Linked DNA regions of Callithrix jacchus. The protein of the gene in region 1 interacts with the protein of each later gene in a pairwise test. Links are inferred from orthologs where the notes say so. Each region holds a gene or a part of one and is shown in the gene's direction. Other genes may lie near its edges. The genes, in order: TRIM38 and RFC5.

Region 1 (3,352 bases):
ACCAGCTGATCAGTGTTTAAGCCAGTAGCACAGTGGCTTCTTCACCTTCTGGTTAGAACATCCTATTACCATTATTTATTTTTAAAACTGCATACTGTCCAGTATCTCACTTTAGGTTATCAGATTTTTTTTCTGCCTTGTTTGACTCTAGTCTGATACTTTTCATGTGTATTGATCCTCAGTGTATTGTCACCTCATGCTAATCTGTATGGAACGTTATCTGAGGGGAAAGAGAAGAGCTTATAATTAAAAGTCATGGAACTAGGCGTGTGTCCTGAGACCTGGGTCTTCCAATAACAAGCTAAGACATTAGCTGAGTCATTTTCCTTCCCTGAGTCTCAGTGTTGGTGGTTATTCAGTAGAGAAGGGAAAAGCTATCTTTATGCTCAGCTGTTTCATGATTCCTGGAAGTCTTGCATGGGAGAAGAACTTCAGACAGGATGGTGACCATATTAACTGATTAGTTCTGTACCTTGACTAAGACAAAGATGATGCTGATGACATTATTATCACTACCACTTATTAGGTGCTTACCGTGTATCAGGAATTTTACTGTGTGTTAAGTAAACATAGCATATTCAATAACACCCACGTTTCTTTGCAACAAATATGATAATTTCCACTTTATAATTAACAAAACTGAGGCTCAGAGAGTTAAATGACTTGCCTAAGCTCACGCGGTTTATAAGAAACAATACTTGGGTTTGAACACAGGCTAGTTTTATTGAAAGTAACTTGTGGCTCAGCATGGTTGCTCACACCTGTGTAATCCCAGCACTTTGGGAAGCCAAGGAGGGTGGATCACCTGAGGTCAGGAGTTCAAGACCAGCCTGGCCAACATGGCGAAACCCCACCTCTACTAAAAATATAAAAATTAGCCACTTGTGGTGGTGCAAACACTCAATTACTCAGAAGACTGAGGCGGCAGAATTGCCTGAACCCGGGAGGCAGAGGTTGCAGTGAGCCAAGATAGTGTACGACTCGGTCTCAAAAAAATAAATAAATAAATAAATAAAATACAATAACTTATGTTCTTTGCACCAACGAAAGTGGTTTTGTGTTTGTTTTGTTTTTGCAGTCAGTGTGACTCTGGATCCAGATACAGCTCATCATGAACTAATTCTGTCTGAAGATCGGAGACAAGTGACTCGAGGATACCCCCAGCAGAATCAGGACACTTCTTCCAGGAGATTTAGTGCCTTGCCCTGTGTCTTGGGTTGTGAAGGCTTCACCTCAGGAAGATGCTACTTTGAAGTGGATGTTGGAGAAGGAACTGGGTGGGATTTAGGAGTTTGTGTGGAAAATGTGCAGAGGGGCACTGGCATGAAGCAAGAGCCTCAGTTTGGATTCTGGACCCTAAGGCTGTGCAAAAAGAAAGGTTATGTAGCGCTAACTTCTCCCCCAACTTCCCTTCTTCTGCCTGAGCAGCCCCTGGTTGTGGGAGTTTTTCTGGACTGTGAGGCCGGAGTTGTATCCTTTTACAACGGGACTACTGGCTGCCACATCTTCACCTTCCCAAAGGCTTCCTTCTCTGATACTCTCCGGCCCTATTTCCAGGTTTATCATTATTCTCCTTTATTTCTGCCTCCCCTAGATGATTAAGGAAAAAAGCAGAGGCTCTTTCATTTAACCAGCCCAAAGAAAATAATGTAAATCACATAAGGGCAGAAAATTTGGTCTGTTTTCTTCACTGCCATTTCCTCAGTTCTCAGAATAGTTCTGGGATTTTAGTGGATATATAATTAATTTACGCTGAATAAATGGAGTTAGAAACTAAAAATACCGCATTTGGTTGACCTGCACTGGGACAAAGCAAGGTAGTGGTGATGATCATACGTTGCTCTATCTGTCTTTGAGGGATCAGGGCTTTGATTTCCAAGGTCTTCAGGTGATGAGTGAGGGGACCCGCAAGTCGGAGTGTCTGTGTTCTCCTAGTTCATTTCCTATCATTTGAACTCGGGGGTGATGAAAGAAAGCTGCAATTGTCTGCCAATTGCATTAAAACAAAAAGGTGGAAAATCAAAATAGCATTGACACTTCCAACCACGACAGGTTGTTTAATAATCTGAGCAGCAGTTCTGGAGGTTACCAGACCTACTGAGATCTGCCTGAGAAACAGCTGAGCAGAGTGTGAGAGAAGGGTTAAGACTAGCTTCCTGGTGTTGAATAGACAGAAGGACTGATGAAACAGAAGACAAAGTCCAGGCCTGGTGCCATGGCTCACACTTGTAATCCCAGCATTTTGGGAGGATAAGGTCACACTTGTAATCCCAGCATTTTGGGAGGATAAGGTGGGTGGATCACTTGAGGCCAGGAGTTTGAGACCAGCCTGACCAACATGGCAAATCCCCATCTCTACTAAAAATACAAAAATTAGCCAGGTGTGGTGGCAGGCGCCTGTAATCCCAGCATTTTGGGAGGATAAGGTCACACTTGTAATCCCAGCATTTTGGGAGGATAAGGTGGGTGGATCACTTGAGGCCAGGAGTTTGAGACCAGCCTGACCAACATGGCAAATCCCCATCTCTACTAAAAATACAAAAATTAGCCAGGTGTGGTGGCAGGCGCCTGTAATCCCAGCTACTCGGGAGGCTGGAGGCATGAGAATCTCTTGAACTTGCGAGGCCAAGGCTGCAGCCAAGGTCATGCCACTGTACTCCAGTGTGGGGGACAGAGCGAGACTCTGTCTAAAAAAACAAATAAAATAATAAAATACAACCTAAAACCTAGCAGTCTCAACCCTGTGATTCTATTCAATGGCACCAAGTTCAGAAGTGGTAACTGGAAACATCCAAACTTATCAAAAAGAAATGGGTCAATAACTTATGCTACTCCATATGAAGGATTTCTTTTTCTTTAATGACAGAGTTTTAGAAAAGTCTCGGCAGAAGTGTATATAACTACATTGTAAAAAATTTTTATTATTTTTGTTTTGAGACTGGATCTCACTTTGTTACTCAGGCTTGAGTGCAGTGGCACAATCTCTGCTCACTGCAGCCTCTACCTCCTGGATTCCAATCATCCTCCCACTTTAGCCTCCCAAGGAGCTGGGACTACAGGTACATGCCACTGGGCCTGGCTAATTTTTGTATTTTTTTGTAAAGACAGGGTTTCACCATGTTGCCTTGGCTGGTCTCAAACTCCTGAGCTCAAGCAATCTGCCCACCCAGCTTCCCAAAGTGCTGGGGATTACAGGTGTGAGCCACTTCACCCAGCCTTTGTTTTTTAAATTAATACTCTTAATTAAAAGACAAACCATGTATGTATACAAGGCCAGGCACAGTGACTATAATCTCAACACTTTGGGAGGCCGAGGATTGCTTGAGGCCAGTTTGTAGACCAGTCTGGGCAA
Region 2 (3,819 bases), on another chromosome or scaffold:
TTTCTCATCAGGACATTCTGAGTACCAGTAAGTATCCATGTGTCCGTTGCTCTTGTCCTGGTTGAAGGATCTGTATAAATTTCTTGGTGGTGATGTCTCTCCTAAGTAATAACTTCAGAGAATCTGATTGAGCTTAATAGAATGTGGCTTTAAGATTGTTCATTCATTTTCTTCAGGTAGCTACAGTCTAGTGGGTAAGTCATAAACATGAGCATAAAATTGCAACACAGTAGAGTAAAAATAGCATTACAGAGAATCATTTAAGTTCAAAGATGTTGCCAGCACCCAGAAAAGTGCCTGTAACACAGTAGGCACTCAGTAAATACTTGACTGGCTGCATTACTGAGTGAATTCCAATTGCACCAGGAATACAGAGACAAGGCCCCTACGTCAAGTTGTATCTGCCTCTGATTTAGACATTGAATTGGGTTGAAGAGCTTTCAGCCCAACTCAGGGACCTGGCGTGAATGAGGCAGCTCCCAAACACTGATGGTGCCCTCCTTTCTTCCCAATCCTCAGTTCAGAAATTTATCAGTGAAGACCGACTGCCACACTTGCTTCTCTATGGCCCCCCAGGGACAGGCAAGACATCCACCATCCTAGCCTGTGCGAAGCAGCTATATAAAGACAAAGAATTTGGCTCCATGGTCTTGGAGGTAAATAAGATTGTTCTTACTCTACATATAACTTAGGACTCCAGTCTCTTAATTTCAGTTCTGCTGGTTTTATTTTACTTTAAAAGTGAGTTGCCCCACAGGCAGTTAGGAAAGAAAGAAATTTGAAATAAGATGTTTTAATTCACTTTTTTCTGTAATGGCCATTTTGGTCTGGATTCGCTTTGGTCAGCTAGAGGGCAGTTGTGGGGCTAAGCACTTTTTCTTTGCTGTTGCCAACCTCTACCCAAACCCTGCTTATGGTTACTTGGTTGTTGCCTGCCCGCCATGGCCCCTCCGGATCAATTCTCCACCCTATTCTTGCCCAGAAGGCTGAGCTCTACCGACTAGAAGCTCACTTACCCTCTGGCTCCTGGTTGGGATTGGTCAAGAGGGGCCCTGGCAGGGATAGGGAAGGAAGTGAGTGATGCCTGGACCTTCTCTGGGGGCTGACACCACCGGCAGCATGGCCCACCTGTAGGGTACATCTCACAGGTGGTACCTGTCCGGTAGCCCTCTCCAGTTGCCTAGAGCCACTCCCTTCACTAACCCCTTCAGGCCCAAAGGCGACAGGGATCACATAGCCCCGTGATTTTCCCATATCACATCTTTTAAAAGATCTTTTAAAAGATCTCCTGGGCTGGGTGTAGTGACTCACACCTGTAATCCCAACACTTTGGGAGGCTGAGGCGAGTGGATTGCCTGAGGTCAGGAATTCGAGACCACCCTGGCCGACATGGCAAAACCCCATCTCTAATTTAAAAATATATTAAAAATTAGCCAGGCGACTTTGGGAGACCAAGGTGGGTGGATCACCTGAGGTCAGGAGTTCAAGACCAGCCTGGCTATCATGGTGAATGCCCATCTTAACATTAAAAAATTAAAAAAAATTTTTTAAAGAAAAAAAAAATTAGCCAGGCAAGGTGGCAGACACCTGTAATCCCAGCTACTCAGGAAGCTGAGGAAGAAGAATCGCTGGAACCTAGGAGGCAAGTGTTGCAGTGAGCTGAGATCGTGCCATTGCATTGCAGCCTGGGTAACGAGTGAAACTCCGTCTCAAAAAAAAAAAAATAGATCTCCTTGTTTAGTTCTCTGCAAATTGCTGAGTATGCCATCTGTATATTGCTGAGACCTTGACTAATATACTTAGATTCAAAAAGCTGAGTATTGTCTGTTGCAAGAAAAGAATGTTTATCTTACTTTTTAGACGTGGGTGTCAGAACTTTGCTGCTACTAATGTCCTTATTTCGGTTTAGTAAGCACTTGGTAACCTTGGGATTGTGGTAGTTAAGTTTGGATCATTCTGCTCATACCAGAGGTGCTGCTCAGTGTAACCATACCCAGTAATTATTTCTCCAGTTTATGTAAGAGTCCGTGTCCTCAAAGGGCGGGGATAATAAAGACATCTGCCTTTCGGAATGTAAGGTAATGAGTAGTGAGTTTTGTTAGACATAGAGAGCTAGTCCGCTGAGCTGGACTAATGAAGAGATGCACTGAAGCCCAGAACTCGTGGATAGCACAGCAGCATGCTTTGTGTTTTGACTTTTGTCTTATGCATTTAGCTGAACGCTTCAGATGACAGAGGAATAGACATCGTTCGAGGACCAATCCTGAGCTTTGCTAGCACAAGGACAATATTTAAGTAAGAATTATTTATATCATTTCTCTCCCTTGATGTTGATTAGTAAGATGATATGGTTTAATTTTTTAATCCTTTCCTTTGCCAGTTTATATGGGTTGAAAAAAAGTGACTTTGTTGAAAGCAGCCATGGAAAAGGGATAACAGGGTTGGTAGTAAGAAGCGTTATAATGCAACTATTAAAAGAAATGTTATCTCCATCTGTATATACCTGTATTACAGGTATACATTTTTTGTTGTTTGTTTGTTTGTTTGTTTGTTTGTGGAGACAGGGTCTCGCTCTATCGCCCAGGCTGGAGTGCAGGAGCATGATCTCAGCTCACTGCAACCTCCCACGCTCAAACGATCCTCCAGCCTCAGCCTCCCAAGTAGCTGGGAATACAGGCACAAGCCATCATGTCCAACTAATTTTTGTATTTTTTAGTAGACATGGGGTGTCCCCATGTTGCCTAGGCTGGTCTAGAACTCCTGAGCTCAAGCAGTCTGCCTGCCACAGCCTCCCAAAGTGCTGGGATTACAGGCGTGAGCCCAGCCTGTATTACCAAGTTCTTTAGGGAAAGATTACCTTCATTTTTAGTTCCTGGGAGCTGGTTAGATTACCCTAAGACTGGATGAGCTAGTTTGAATTTAAACAAAACTAAATTGAGATCAGGAAGGATAAGTAGGATGGTGGCTAAAAAAAAGAAAGAAAGAAAAAGGGTGAGGGCCAGGCACAGTGTCTCATGCCTATAATCCTAGGACTTTGGGAGGTCTAGGCAGTTGGATCAGCTGAGGTCACGAGTTCAAGACCAGCCTAGTCAACATAGTAAAACCTTGTCTCTACTGAAAATACAAAAATTATCTGTGCATGGTGGCAGGCACCTGTAATCCCAGCTACCCAGGAGGCAGAGGTTGCAGTGAGCTGAGATCACAGCCTGGGCAACAGAGGAAAAACTCTGTCTCAAACAAAAAGAAAAAGGGTGAGAAGACTGAGACCTGAGTGAAGGAGATGGAGAAAGCAGTTGGCATGATAGGGTACTCTGTGGAAGGAAGGCGAAGGTGCCAGAGGACACAGCACATAGAAGCAAAGAAATCCATCCTCAGTTCCCACCAAGGGTTGAAAGAGTGATGGATCATTTCCTCTCTGAGTGGCCAAAGATGTTTGCCTTGGTCAAAGTTCTAGAAGAAATAGCCTTTCTGAGAGAGGGCCTGATGGCACCAATGGGAAGATGCAGGTTTGGGTTCAGATATTGAGGTGAGATTGAAGACATCTTTAGACAGCACCATTTGTTTTTCTAGGAAAGGCTTTAAGCTGGTGATCTTGGATGAAGCAGATGCCATGACTCAGGACGCCCAGAATGCCTTGAGAAGAGGTAAGCGGAGCCACTGTGTAGCATGTGGGCTGCAGAGCACACTGGAAGGAGAATTGGGAACTTTGTTTCTTCTTGTTGTTGCTGTTCTGTTGTTTTTCCCTCTGTCTCCCAGACTGGAGTGCAGTGGCCGAATCTTGGCTCACTGCAACCTCCGCCTCCCAGGTTCAGGCAATTC

Evidence for each region.
Region 2: the proteins of TRIM38 (region 1) and RFC5 interact in binary tests that used the Homo sapiens proteins (3 or more experiments, as listed by UniProt). The link is inferred for Callithrix jacchus from reciprocal best matches to the Homo sapiens genes TRIM38 and RFC5.

What each region holds. Positions count from the first base shown.
Region 1 is NC_133505.1:4,708,731-4,712,082, reverse strand, and holds the end of TRIM38 (E3 ubiquitin-protein ligase TRIM38), read left to right. Parts: intron 1-1,078; coding exon 1,079-1,602; 3' UTR 1,603-2,729; downstream 2,730-3,352. UniProt on the Homo sapiens protein: E3 ubiquitin-protein and E3 SUMO-protein ligase that acts as a regulator of innate immunity. Acts as a negative regulator of type I interferon IFN-beta production by catalyzing 'Lys-48'-linked polyubiquitination of AZI2/NAP1, leading to its degradation.
Region 2 is NC_133510.1:121,075,618-121,079,436, forward strand, and holds part of RFC5 (replication factor C subunit 5), read left to right. Parts: coding exon 1-27; intron 28-519; coding exon 520-656; intron 657-2,215; coding exon 2,216-2,295; intron 2,296-3,570; coding exon 3,571-3,644; intron 3,645-3,819. UniProt on the Homo sapiens protein: Subunit of the replication factor C (RFC) complex which acts during elongation of primed DNA templates by DNA polymerases delta and epsilon, and is necessary for ATP-dependent loading of proliferating cell nuclear antigen (PCNA) onto primed DNA.